Linked DNA regions of Mytilus edulis. The protein of the gene in region 1 interacts with the protein of each later gene in a pairwise test. Links are inferred from orthologs where the notes say so. Each region holds a gene or a part of one and is shown in the gene's direction. Other genes may lie near its edges.

Region 1 (7,765 bases):
CTTATTTGTAGATCTTACTTTGCTGAACATTATTGCAGTTTACAGTTTATCTCTATCTATGATAGTATTCAAGATAACCAAAAACGGCAAAAATTTCCTTAAAATTACCAATCCAGGGACAGCAAGCCAACAACCGGTTGTCCGATTCATTTGAAAATTTCAGGGCAGATAGATTTTTACTTGATAAAATTACCAATTGCCATTTTGAGGTTGAGGGCAGCAACACAACAACCGGTTGTCAAATTCATTTGAAAATTTCAGGGCAGATAGATATTGACTTGATAAACAATTAAATCCCTTCAAGTTGTCAGATTTGCTCTAAATGTTTTGGTTTCAAAGTTATAAGCCAAAATCTACATTTTACCCCGATGTTCTATTTTTAGCCATGGTGGCCATCTTGGTTGATTGGCCAGGTTATCGGACACATTTTTTTAAAACTAAATACCCTAATAATGATTGTGGCAAAGTTTGGTTAAGTTTGGCCCAGTAGTTTCAGAGGAGAAGATTTTCGTAAAAGATTACAAAAATTTACGAAAAATTGGTAAAAAATTACTATAAAGGGCAATAACTCCTTCAGGGGTCAACTGACCATTTTGGTCATGTTGCCTTATTTGTAGATCTTACTTTGCTGAACATTATTGCTGTTTACAGTTTATCTCTTTTTATATAATAATATTCAAGGTAATAACCAAAAACAGCAAAATTTCCTTAAAATTACCAATTCAGGGGCAGCAACCTAACCAGCTGTTGTCCGATTCTTTTTGAAAATTTCAGGGCTGATAAATTTTTACTTGATAAACAATTTTATCACACGTCAGATTTGCTCTAAATGCTTTGGTTTCAGAGTTATAAGCCAAAATCAACATTTTACCCCTATGTTCTAATTAAGCCATGGCGGCCATCTTGTTTGGTTGGCCGGGTCACGCCACACATTTTTTAAACTAGATACCCCAATGATGATTGTGGTCAAGTTTAATTTGGCCCAGTAGTTTCAGAGGAGAAGATTTTTGTAAAAGTTAACGACGACGGACGACGACGGACGCCGGACGCAAAGTGATGAGAAAAGCTGACTTGGCCCTAAGGAAAATAGCACAATTAGTAAAAAGAAAACAGAAATAGATAATAATCCCCCCCCCCCCCCCCCCCGAGTTCATATATTATAGGACTAGTTGACAGGGACTGTAAAGTTTCATTTTGAATCAGTGTGTATTTAATTTTCAATGTTTATTAAGTATTATTAACTAATAAATACAATTTGAAAAGATTACTTGAATTTTCGGGTGTGGCTAACTGGCGGAAACGGAAAACGGAACGGAAAGAAATGTTTATATGGACGGAATATTTTAAAGGTGAGAAATGGAAAAAATACGAAAAAAATTACGACTGAGTATAAATTTTATGAAATCATACAACAATTATGTTGACAATAGAATAGGATTTAGATAGCAAAGAAAATAGCAAACCATTTTGGAATACATGACATTGATAGCTAAACAAAAATCAAGATGATAGAAAGAGCACGTGCCATTCATCGTAGAGAAAACAAGTAAATGGGTTAACATTGTAAAAGACTGGTTAAATAAATTAGGTTTTGGTCATCTCACTTTTAATACTTTTAATTTAAAATATCACATAAATAGTATCCAACAAAGAATCTATGACCAGGCTTATCAAATTATGAATTGTTCTATCAATAAATGTGAAAAATTAAATATCTTTTGTCATACTAAAAGAATTAGAAAAAGGCCCCCATATATTGATATATGTAAATTCAGAACCGACCGATCAGTTTTCAGTAAAAAACTAAGTGCGCATTCCCTAGCAATTGAAAGAGGGCGTTATTCCAACATTGAAAGAAGTAAACACATTTGCTTATCCTGTAACAGACAAGAAATTGATGATGAATACCATTTCTTCTCAATCTGTCCATGCTATAAATCATTAAGGGATACCTATATACAAAATATTAATACAAATTTTAATTTCAATTTTATTAAATTGCAGTCCACTATAACACTAAATCATTTGACTGTACTTTTAAATAGCAGTCTACCAGTCATTATAAAAATCACCATAAAGTATATTAATGATTGTCTTTTATTAAGAACATCTGTATAACTTTTTTTAATATGCAACCTAATTTTTGTTTGTGTTCTTTTTTAATTGTTCATGAACATTAACAATGTGTTAACTGTTGATATTTATAGCCTTTTTCTTCTTCGCTGTGAATACCACTGTCACTCTAATATAATTATAATCAATTAATTAACTGTTGTCAATTTATTGTCTCAATTTTGTATGCCATAACCATTTAATGTAAATGTGTTTGTGCGAATAAAATATTGTCTATACTCTATTCTCTATTCATCTAGGTTAATGTGCATCTTAAACAATAGAAACTCTCCAACATTATAACCTTGAATAGTTCATCATAAAAGTCTCTCTATCTTCCTTCGTGTTTATTATTTTCATAATCATTCCGCCCCTGCACTTGTTGTTTCCTGTTTTCTAAGAAAGATTTTATCCATTTCCTGCAGAGGCAGATCCAGCCATTTAAAAAAGGGGGTCCTAACCAAGGACAGAGAAAAGGGGGTTCGTTCCAACTACATTTCCCCATTCAATTGCATAGATCGTCCCACCCCGGCCGCCCCCTTTTCAACCGTCTGGATCCGCCACTGTCATGTTTGAATTTGTAAAAGAGAACTAGACCTATCTTAATCGTCTATTTTCCAGTAATTACCAATTTATGTCCATCATCATTTTACCAGAAACTGGGCTATTATAAGAGGGGGGGGCCGGGCCTTTTTTCGGAACATCGTGTTCGGGTGTTTTTAACTTACGGATCGGGATTTTGGGATTGATCCTTAGTTCAGAATCCGGGAATTATTGTTTCTAATTTCGGAATGTCGGTTTTTAAATGTCCTGGACCTCAGAATTTCATGTTTTAAGCCCAGGATTTCCGCGGAATCAGAACCCTCTTATGATAAGAGACTGGGCGATTGCGTCAAGGTGCCCGCGGGCGGGCTGCTATTTTCGAGCGATAACACCCCCTTTTCCATCTTAAATTAATGTTCTATACAGCAAAATTCATTCAATATAATGTATTATATATATGTTGTGTACAAGTTATCATTTTGTACAAATTATAATTTTAACAAAAAAATTGTACAAATTATAATTTGTATTTTGACTTTGTACAAATTATAATTTGTACAAAAAGTGCTTGTACAAATTACAATTTGTACAAAATAAGGCTTAATTTCACTTATAACTTGTACAATAATAGTAAAAAAAATGTACATGTATACCAAATCCTAGAATTTTAAGTGATTGATTGGTGGTTGCTTAACTTGCAATAGCAAATCTTTCATGCATGTTCATGACGATGTATCAAATTATACTATGCAGTATTACATACAGAAGATTGCTGTCACTATGGCCGCACATCAACCTAAAATCGTAACTATATGATCACAGTTAATAAGGGTGTACAAGTATTATTTAAAGAACATTAGGTCACAAAACAGGAGACCATATGAACTTAACTGTTTCACAGATCATTAGCCGGAAAGCTATACGCATATTTACAACCAACTGTGAACAATGTATCTTGAATCGAAAACGTACTGACATATCAAAACTTATTGTTAAACCTATAATTTCTGCTGACTTCAACTGTAAAGGTTGACCTTGTAGACCTGCAATCTGCCAACGACCATGAATTTAAATGGATAATGCACTATCAAGATCATCTTATTAAAAGCGTCCTTAGAGCTCTGAAATCTAAAAGAGCTGCTAAAGTCGCTTATAAATTACTTGACATTTTTCTTCTCTTTGGTGTGGAAGTAGGAAATTTTGGCTATGGTGTAAGAACAATAGCTGGTAATTTATCAGGAGTCTTAAGCAGAAACCAACTAGAATCAATCAGTGACTCTTCTTTGTCCGTTACACAAATTCCAGATTGAAACTTTCCCTAAGGGAAGCTATGAATTTTTGTTTAAAAACTGGTGGACAGGGTTATCTCTCTTGCAAATGTAAAGGCGTTTGTAACAATTCGAATTGTAAATGCAAAAAGCAGAATGTATTGTGTAAATCAAGGTGTCATGGTTCGCTCACCTGCTCCAACAAATAAGAGCATTGTATATTATTGTATAGTATTGTAAATAGAGTTATCAGTGTGTCTCATATTGATTCGTAATTAAAATGAAAATGATTTTTTATCAATTAATTTGAAACTTATTCTATGTAAAATATTGTACAAGTTATAAGTGAAATTAAGCCTTATTTTGTACAAATTATAATGTGTACAGGCACTTTTTGTACAAATTACAATTTGTACAAAGTCAAAATACAAATTATAATTTGTACAATGTTTTTGTACAAATTATAATTTGTACAAAATGATAACTTGTACACAACATATATATGTCTCTGTTGAAATCCATTAAATTCCAAAAAACCATGACAACTGAAACCAAGACTTAAATTGTTGAACTTATAATATTATGCTCCGATAATACATTTTGATGTGTTTTCTTTCGGAAACTATTAACACTATACTTTAAAACACGACTGAAACACATACCATATTTAAAATTAAAAAGACGGAACTTCAATGGTACACGGAACTTGGATTACAATTAGTTCTGCTTTCATTTTCAAGAAAATGGCTGGATCAACAACAAATTTTCCAAATGTTCAAAGAATACGAGATATGGTTCGAAATGACCTTGCATCCCTGCTTGATTCTGTACGAAATATCAGATTTAAAAGTGTTTATTACATACATTGTACCACAAGTATTATGACATTGAAAACGAGAAATCACAATAAATCTGGAGTGAAGTTAGGATATTTTACTTTTTGGCCTTAAATGATTTAGTGGATTCGGAGTTCAGAGAGCTCTGTTTTCTTATCTGATTTTCTGTCGAATGCTTAATTAGAAATAACTTGAAACTCTGCATTCACACTGTTTAATTGAGACCCCTTTAAAAAAAAAACAAGTCTAGATAACTTGGAAATCCATGTTGGAGATGAAATTTTGTTATTTCTGTTGACCATGTTGACAACATGTACATGTAACAGGTTGAGAACCACTCCAAATGAGGGGCATCACAAAAATATTGGACTGCCTCTCTGAGACTTAGAGATAAGGGGATGTTTTGTTTTAGTCTAAGAAAATGAAAAAAAAACTAAGATGTACAAGTACTAAAAATTTCTAGAATTAAACTTCTTTCTTAATCGATTTTTGGGTTTATAAGACTGTAAAAAAATAATTTGAAAAAACCCAAAAAATGAACGAAAAACAATTGTATGTAACTTATAACAAAGGACAACCACTGAACTATAGACTCCTGACTTGGGACAGATACATACACGTGTATACAGAATTTGTCGGGGTTTAACATATTGGCAGGATGCAAACCTTTCCCCTAACCTGGAACAGTGGTGTAAAAGTAAAACATATGAACTATAAAAAATCAGTTGAAAGAGGCTCCACTCATCTGATGGATTAAGCAGGATACAAATAGAAATACATATTACAAAAATAGCCAGGAACTTGTACATCCCAATTGCAACATCAAAAAGACTCTAAGTACTGAACTGAGAGTACTCACAGTTTTTGACAGCTAGTTCAAAACCACTAAAAGTTCACATTTGCTTGCCTTGATGTCACTACCCACAAACATAGTAGGTAAACAACACCTTATATTTATATTAAAATTTTAAGAAAAAAAATAAGTCAGCCCTTTTTGCCTGTTCACAAATTTTGAATGTTCACATTTTTATGTCAGAGGCGGATTTAGGGGGGCAGGGGGCCCGGGCCCCCTCTTTTTGGGAAAAAATTTGGTTGCTTATATAGGGAATCATTGAAGCATGACTGGAGCGGGCCCCCTCTTAGGTCCGTCAGTGGGCCCCAACTTATGAAAATTTCTGGATCCGCCACTGTAGGTATAAATGAAAACAATATTGATTACAATAATGTATCTCTAAGATGTTAATTTACATTCATATTTTAATTATTTAAGGAATGACTCTAATATTTTTTCTGTCTATGAAGAAATAACATAAAAAATTTGGTTCACATTGATTAACGCGCGTAGCGGGTTATTTAACAGTGAGCACTACATTTTTTATGTTATTTCGAATAGACAGAAAAAATATTGCATTCATTTCTTATAATTTAATTCTAAATTCCAATTCTAAATTCCATGTTAAACTGTAGAAAACCATGAAAAATGTTGATGACGTCTCGGTCATATGACTAAATTATGTCTATGGGCTGATAACAAAATAACGCCAGCCAATCAGAAGACGCGTTACATCCAAAATTAAATTATTTCATTATGTATAGACATTTAGTTTGATGAAAAGAAATTATAAATAGAGACAATCTGGTAATTTAAGAATTATTATTTTTTTAACAGTTCAAAGGAAAGAAAGATTTAGTACTGGATAAAGAGCTTATGAAACCATTAGACAGAGTGGCTGGAGCTACAATGCTTAAGGTATTATTATAACGGATATATTATTATTGATACTATATATAAAAAGGAAGATGTGGTATGATTGCCAATGAGACAACTCTCCAAAAGAGACCAAATTGACACAGAAATTAACAAATATAGGTAACCATACAGCCTTCAACAATGAGCAAAGCCCATACCACATAGTCAGCTATAAAAGGCCTCAAAATGACAATGTTAAACAATTCAAACGAGAAAAATAACTGCTTTATTTATATAAAAAATGAACCAAAAATAAAAATGTATCACATAAACAAACAACAACTACTGAATTACAGGCTCCTGACCATATTCCCCAGTCCTCATACAAAGCTATAACAAGTTCCTTTTTAATAATCTTTAAAATGTGATTCACCTGTACCCATAGAATCCACAAAAATTGGTATTTAATAAATATTAATCAATCCAAAGTATGAGTAATTGGTCCACTATATGTATACATTTTATCATGTTTATGGAATGATATTTACATTTTTATGATTTCAGCAAAGAAATGTACTTTAATCATGATTAATTGGTCCACTTTTTATTTTATATATAGTTAGTAAAGATACCAGGATTATAATTTAATAGGCCAGACACATGTTTCGTCTGCAAGCTAAAGCTTGCATTACACCTGTTTCTTAACCTCTTACAAATACAGCTGATATTTAATTACACTATACAGTTATTGTAAAATTGAGAAAGGAAATGGTGAATATGTCAAAGCGACAACCACCCGACCATATAGCAAACAACAGCCGAAGGCAACCAATGGGTCTTCAATGTAGCGAGAATTCCCGCACCCGTAGGTGTCCTTCAGCTGGCCCCTAAAATATGCATAATAGTACAGTGATAATGGACGTCATACTAAACTCCGAATTATACACAAGAAACTAAAATTTAAAATCATACAAGACTAACAAAGGCCAGAGGCTTTTGTCTATATAATTGGCTATAAAAAAAGAGGGACGAAAGATACCAAAGGGACAGTCAAACTCATAAATCTAAAACAAACTGACAACGCCATGGCTAAAAATGAAAAAGACAAACAGAAAAACAATAGTACACATGACACAACATAGAAAACTAAAGAATAAACAACACGAACCCCACCAAAAACTAGGGGTGATCTCAGGTGCTCCGGAAGGGTAAGTAGATCCTGCTCCACATGTGGCACCCGTCGTGTTGCTTATGTGATTACAAATCCGGTAAATAGTCTAATTCGGTAGGTCACATTCATGAAAGGGAAGGTATAA
Region 2 (8,067 bases), on another chromosome or scaffold:
TTTTACTGTAATATATTGATATTGTGACATTTATGGGAAAGAGCATATGAGTTAGTCATATTGGTCAATACAATGGAAAGTTTATAGCTGAGACTACTATAACACTATGTGTTATACTAGTAGTCTCAGTTTATAACTATGTTAATGTTAATTATATACATGACATAATAATTAAATCATTTAAAAAACTATTCCAAAGATTTCTCTAAAATCATGTTTACATTTTTTTAGAGAAGAGTCTGTCTGAAATATATTCAGGGGTAGTCCAAATAATTATGACTTCTTAAAAAAATATATTATGGGGAAAAAGGGGGGGGGGGGGGGGTATATTATGTTTTTTTCATACAGGAGGAAGACGTCAAAGCAAAAAAAAAACCCAACAAAACAAAATAAAATAATAGCCTGTCAAGACGTCCTTATATCATAATAGAGGGTCTGGATGAGGGGGTCTGTTATTCTGTAAACATTTGATTTTCACCCCTTTTTTCTCTAATCTTTAAAAAATTAACCCCTTTTTTCTCTAATCTTCCAAAAATTAACCCTTTTTTTCTCTAATCTTCAATTTTTTGGCCCATTATTCTCTAATCTTCATTTTTTAAGGGCATTATTCTTTAATCATTTAACCCCATCCATCATAATAATTTGGTCTAATTTTGGGATAATACATTTAACTTCCTTTGATGTCGGGGAGGGGATAAGTTTTGACGATTAATTATTCTTGAAACTAACAATAATTATTTCTTATTGTTACTTTGTTAAGCGAGCGCGATGTGTGGTTCTCGAGTTATTTAAAAAAAAAAGGGGGGGGTTGTTACTATATATCAAATTTACCCAGTTTGGAGACAAGAAATATTTAAAATCTAACCATAAACTCCAATGTTCCTGCTTTTTTTAGCAGAACAAACACGATGGCATTCTCATCTCTGTTATAATCAATAGTTAACTCATTTCTTCTTCCAGGTTATTTCTTAATCAATTATGATTATCAGCTGTCTATCTATTTACCATGTTTATGTTAAACTGGTCCGTAATTCCATCGTAGTGTATCGATAAGTGAACACAACAGGGATCCAGTTTATTAAACGTCTGTAAACCGAGGTATATAATACAAGGTTCCTGAGTCAGTAACCGTAACTATCACCGTGCTTTGTGCGCATGCGCAATAAACACCAACAAGAAGGATAAAACAAGGTACACAGTTCCGTAATTTCGTATATTTTTCTTATCTTCATACTAAAGAGCTCCAAAAGTAGGCGTGCTTAAGTGCACTGGGCGGGTCTAAAAACCGACTCTCGGTGGTTAACGTCTCTCGATGGTTAACTTTAAGTGCCTACCTTGGCCCAACTGTTCAGGGTTCAACCTCTGCGGTCGTATCAGGCTGCGCTCAGCAAAGTATTTTTATTGTACCATTAATTAGTGTCGGATAAAATTTCTAAAGTACTATAGTTTGAATTTTGCATTCATTTATAAAAAATTAAAGTTGATTTTGTATTTTTAAGCAATAACATATATTCAGCAAGTAACGTAAGTTGCACATTTTATAACCGTTGGTGCAATTTCAGATCCAATGCTTAATGCAAAATTATAACATTTTTTTTTGGACATCATTGATCATCATTACTTTGAAATATAGAAGAGTAAAATTGAGAATGGAAATGGAGAATGTGCCAAAGAGACAACAACCCGATCATAGAGCAGACAACAGCAGAAGGTCACCAACAGGTCTTGAAGGTTTACTTGATGATGGCCTGAATTTTTTTATATTGACTCGGTATACATTATTTAGCCTTGCACAAAGGCCGACACAAATTTTATTTATATAAGCGAGCGGGGGTATCACGTGCATTTTTACGTCATACCACGGCTCCCATCCGTCCGTCTAATGGAAAACTGTGTTCCTTTTTCATATATAAGATACAATTATAATTCTCAAAGCGGTATATATCAAATATGTGTTTGCATTAATGCAAACAAGATTAAATAATTGATTTCAAAAAGTTTTCTATTTAAAATTATATTTAGTAATGTAATAATGTTAAATAGTTAATTAATAATTAATCATTACATCATAAGTTCAAAATATGCTTAAGATACAATTTAGGGGAAGTAATTGCATATCCTTAATTTCGAAAATTTGTTCGGCAAGTCAGAAATATACATGTATGCAGTTCACCAGAGTTAAGGTTTATCTATACATTTCTACAATGTGAAATATTCTCTGCATGCAGAAAAAAATGTGTTATTTCAATAGTTTTAAATCCTGGCAGCACCTTATCTGATCTGCAGATACCACAACCAAATGATTGCAATGGACAAACTGGTTTTATGTTTCAAACTAGTTTGCGAAAAGTAAAAAACAATATTATTGCACTCCGAGCAAAATTTAAAACGGAAAGTCCCTTACCGTAACATCAAACAATTGGATGACTCTAATTGGGGGTCATGGATAACAACTGTCATATTCCTGACTTGGTACAGGCATTTTCTTATGTAGAAAATGGTGGATTAAATTTAACCTGGTTTTATATCTAGCTTAACCTCTCACTTGTATGCCAGTCGCATCAAATTCCATTATATTGACAACGATGTGTGAACAAAAAAAAACAGACATAAGGTCACAGACCACAATTAAATTCCTCAATTAGTTCTTTATAACGTGTTGTTTCATGATTAAAAATAATGCACCTAATTCTTTTTGTCCAATATTTTCTGCGTGTTTCTATGGTTGGCCAGACAAGTGTCTGTAGGATTTTGGTAACAGTTCCTGGTTCCCGAGTATGGTTTGCTGTTTCAAATCGGGCAGCTCTTCCTTGTACCATCTCGATTTGGTTTATGTGGCACCTTTTATATGGGCCCCACATCTCAGATGCATACTCAAGGTGGGGTCGAACTAATGTTTTGTATGCGCTCTCTTTTATATCGGAAAACCTGTGTCTGTGGTATTGTCTGGTTGTTACGGTTGGTCTCTTGATATAATCTGGAATGATGACCGATGTTTCTCCATGTAGGATGTTATACGGGAGTATAAGCCTGGCTCCTTTTCTGCGTGTACATCTTGTGGACACTTATTTACGTTCCTTCTTACAGCAGGAAACATAGGGGTCCAAAGAACGTCACCTGGGATACACCGGAACGTACTGCTTTCGTCTCACTAATTTCGCCTTCTACACAAACTCGTTGATTTCGTTTGTAAGCCATGCGCTTATCAAGCTCAGAGCATCTCCTCGGATACCGTAGTAGCTCATTTTCTGTAATAGCCGCTAATGTGGTCTGTGTCAAATGCCTTTGAAAAATATAAGACGAGCTAGCATATCTACTTGCTCTATCATATCCAAAGATCGTGCGACTGAATCTATGATGTTTACTGAACAGTTGAGTTTCACAGGAGCAATGTTGTCTGGAACCGTGTTCGTAGTCCCCTAAAATGCTTTTTTTCCAAGTGGTACATTACATGGCGGTAAATGATGTGTTTCATTGTTTTACAGCATATAGAGCTTAGAGAGACGGGCCTGTAGTTGAATGCTCGTGTGCGATCACCTTTCTTGTAGATAGCTGTGATGTTAGCTAGATTCCAGTTAGTGGTACTGTCCCAGATACCAAAGCCGGTCTGGTAAGATATGTTTGTCAGGAATGGTGATATTTTGTCCGCTGCCTCTTTTAGGATCCGAGATGGTATCATGTCTGGCCCTACAGTTTGTTTTATGTGTCCAGCTTTCTAAGTAGTTTGTTTATGCCATTTGCTGTTACTCTTAGTTTGTCTTTGTCTTCGATTGCTTTTTCCAAGAGATAGCATTGCATTCATATTTTCGTCTGTGAATACACTATCATACTGTTCATTAAGTATAGCAGCTGTCACCTTCCTGTCTTTTACTTCTGTTCTTCAAGGTTGATATATGTTGACTGTGTCTTTTTACCTGGACTAGATGTTGTATTACCAGAATTTCTTTCCCATGATAGGCTTTTTCTGTTCTTCATTACCATTGTCATCGTTTAATATGCCACTGATGTATCTATCGTGGGCCTCTCACATGGTCTGCTTGACAATACCTCTAGCTGTTGAACAGCTATGTACCCCCCCCCCCCCCCCCCCCAAGTGTTCTGATGTATCGTATCTTTAAGCTGTATTGTATCTGCCTTCACGTTTTCTGGTTAGTCGCTTGATGGTTTGGTTCATCAAGGGCACATCTTGTTTTCCACTGATGGTTTTTAAGGGACATGTTTGTTTACACTCAATTTTTGCACCAATGATAACAAGCCCAAACACATCAAACGAATATTTTTGACTAGCTGAACACATTTTCGAAATTGATAAAATCTAGTTATTTCCCCCTAAATTGTATCTCAAGCATATTCTTAAAATGTGATATTATGTTTTATTAGATGAACTGCTGCAAGATTTGGTTATCCGACATTGATTTTTACATATATCCATATGGGTCAATTAATTTTTCCCAAACTAAGTTAATAGGGGGTAGGGGGGTCAGTGAAAAAACTATTTGAATTAAGTTTTTTATCCTTCATTGAACTTTTGATGTCGTCCCTAAGGCTCATGGTATATCAATTACATAGTTGGTCAAACATAATAAGTATTGAAAATAATGACTATATTAATATGTAATATTATAAACAATGATTATGAATTAGACATATTGACAATTTTATAGAGTTTGTTCTGCTTTACGCAGGTTCAAACTGTCTGAGATGAAAGAGGAAGTCAATTTTAGGATTGTGTATGAATTATTATTTAATAAAAAGATTATATTATTTTCATGTTTTTTGAAATTTTGTAGGATCAACGATTATATTTGAAACTTTATGGTGAAATTTTCACATCGTAAAATTAATTAATGTAGCTAATAATTTTTTTTTTTAAATCAACTTTAAGTAAAAAAAACATTAAAATATCGAAAATGTTTTATCTGTCCCCTACAATGGCTACATAGCTTGTGAATGTTCCCCACCAAGGTTCTTTATTTTGGCAATCGATCGTCTTTCATAACGTAATATGTCCGGAAAAAAATCACTTGTGTTTCGAGAGTGGACCGAAAACTAGAATAATATAGACTGGTTGAATAGTTGCTTTCTCATCTCCTCTACTCGCCTTTCCATTACTGATGTAAACAAAATCCAGTAAAATCAGAAGATTGAACTCGTACTATGTCGTCTTTAAGGAAGGTTAATGTTTGTTTATTTACACTGTTAACGTTCAACGTCCCAACCATATGTCCCCATTCAGTGAGTGATTCAGGAACTTTCTATTTTTAAAATGCATTGATCGTCTAAAAAAAGGGGGGGGGGGGGGGGGGGGGTGGGGGTGGTCCAATCCACCACCACCCGAACCCAACCCCTCTGGATCCGCCACTGAATGTGAATTAAACAAAAATGTATGTGGTGTTTGCTTACACCCTCGTTCTTCAGTCTCTCAGTGGATTTTTTTCTCATTTGGCAATCATGTCGCATCTCTTATTTTTCTTAAAGGTCTGTCAAAAACTCAAACATTAGTCATTATCCAAAATTATTATAACGAAATCAAAACAATAAAGATAACATTCAACAAGGTTTTCAAAATATTGACAGTTACTAGTGTAAAGTATCCAGCTGAAATTCCATCCGGCAGGAACATGTTACAGAAGTTGTTGAACATTATTTTTTTATCCAGAGGAAAATATTTCACTGTGATATATTTTCCATTGCCATGAAATTCTATCTAGGAAGTTAAAATATTGAATAGTTAATAAAAAAAAAACTTAATCTTTTCAAATACTTTGGATTAATAATAGTGTATTTCAATGTAAGCTAAATTGTAAATAAAAAACAAAATATATGTATTAAAATCGGAAATAATTTCACGTTGATAGTGGGTCTTCCCATTGATAGAAATGAATCCGGGTCTGTTCGCGCCCAATTGCGTTCGCACCCATCCACACCCATCCACATTCGCCCCCATTCACTTTCGCACCCCACATGTTCGCACCCAAATTTTGCGAAAAGTCCGTTCGCACCCCACACGTTCGCACCCAGTTTTACCGATTTTTTGTAGGTGTATTGGTATAAATATATATGCCATTGTTTCTAAATAATTCGAGATACTGACAAGTCTTTTTGTGTCATGACAAGTTTATAAAAAAAAAGTTTTTGTTTTTAAGTCTGATTCTGATATTCTGGCAACAATAACAACAATTTCCTTTTTGTGTTGAATAATTCTTAATCATGTTTTGGGTAGTGTATTGAAATAATTTGTTTTTCACTGTTTCTAGTCAATTAAATGCGAATCTGACAACATGTTGAACAAATGGTATGCATGGTTTTTTGGTGTCAAAGGATCAAAGGAGCCAAGCTGTTAAAAACAATTTTCTTTCATGTTTTTTATTTAAAATCTTCAAAGTTTTACTCCATGTACTCATACCAAGCTAAATACATGCAGTATTTACATCAAAGCAATTTAAAACAACAATCATGATTTATAAACAGTAAACAATAACACCAAATTAGGCTGTGTATAAATACCAATTAGCAATAATCATACATAATCAACACTTAATAATTAATCATCAAATTAATAAAAAAAAAAAAATTCTATTCGATAAATTCTCAAATTTTATTCAAATAGAATACAATTATTTGTTATATTCATATAAATAATTTCTAATAATTTAACTAAAATTTTATTAAAAATTGGGCGCGAACATGTAGGGTGCGAACAGACATGGGGGGCGAAAATGTGAGGTGCGAACGTGTAGGGTGCGAAACTATATTGGGCGCGAACAGACCTGATACCGATAGAAACAAGTGCCTGTGGATAGTATTTACCTGTGAAATATTTTATGTCTTATTTAGTAATGTTTTAATTCATCTGTTTATATAAATTAACAGATATTTTTTCAAATACTTTGGATTAATAATAGTGTATTTCAATGTAAGCTAAATTGTAAATAAAAAACAAAATATATGTACATGTATTAAAATCAGAAATAATTTCACGTTGATAGTGGGTCTTCCCATTGATAGAAACAAGTGCCTGTGGATAGTATTTACCTGTGAAATATTTTATGTCTTATTTAGTAATGTTTTAATTCATCTGTTTATATAAATTAGTTTAAAAAATTAAGAATAAAGGAAAAATTTTAATATGAAATAGATTAATTTACGAAATATAATATCTAAAATATAAATGGCTCATAATTACCTCCCTTTGATTGATAGATTATGCAAATATGAACTATCTTGGTGAAAACATTTATAAATATTTGGTCAGGTATACATATTGATTGTGAGTTCCTCACATAGTAGACAATGGGACTCTATTTCACAAGGTTCTGTGAAATATGGAACAGAAAATATATATACATGTACATTGTACTGGTAAATACTATCCGCAGAAGACAGATAGAATTTCACTCCTATGGAAAAAAAATCTACCTGTGAAATGCCATGTCTGGAAAGAAATTATGGTGACAAATTATCCAATTATCCCCAGGATAACATATCACAGAGGAAGAAATAAACTGTAAATGTATATGGAAATGTGGTTGGGTAAAACTAACTTTTGTACTTCTAGATCTCAACCCTCCCCCTTTTGAATCTCAGTATAGATTAACAGACGTAGTGTCTTTTTACCACAAAACAGCACAGAATACCACAGAACACTCAAATTATACCACAGAACTACACAAATTACAATAAAACTACTGAAATACACAACAGAACATTAAAATTACTTTATAAAATGAAAATCTTATTATTCAAAATTATATTAATTCTTTGAATCAGGTTACACCAATGACATGACGATCAACTGAATGAGATAAAAATTATCATAATTGTTTTGTTATTTGGCATATTTTTTTTTATGTTTGGAGACCTTTTAAACACTCAACTAACATTGGCATAATTAAACTCTAAAATAAACATTTAAAAAAATAGTTTTGAGAAAAAAAAAATTACTGCACAGTTTCCACAGTCACCAATCAATATACACGCTTTGAATAAAATGTGGTGTTCTGTGATAATCTGTGGTGTTCTATGGTAAAAAGACACTCCCATTAACAGAACGTGCAAAAAAGAAAA

What was found. The genes of interacting proteins can lie anywhere in the genome.
Region 2: the proteins of vacuolar protein sorting-associated protein 33B-like (region 1) and spermatogenesis-defective protein 39 homolog interact in binary tests that used the Homo sapiens proteins (3 or more experiments, as listed by UniProt). The link is inferred for Mytilus edulis from reciprocal best matches to the Homo sapiens genes VPS33B and VIPAS39.

Annotation. Positions count from the first base shown.
Region 1 is NC_092347.1:44,635,941-44,643,705, reverse strand, and holds the start of vacuolar protein sorting-associated protein 33B-like, read left to right. Parts: upstream 1-4,594; 5' UTR 4,595-4,615; coding exon 4,616-4,750; intron 4,751-6,428; coding exon 6,429-6,509; intron 6,510-7,765. UniProt on the Homo sapiens protein: May play a role in vesicle-mediated protein trafficking to lysosomal compartments and in membrane docking/fusion reactions of late endosomes/lysosomes.
Region 2 is NC_092346.1:44,775,027-44,783,093, reverse strand, and holds the start of spermatogenesis-defective protein 39 homolog, read left to right. Parts: upstream 1-5,044; 5' UTR 5,045-5,157; coding exon 5,158-5,175; intron 5,176-8,067.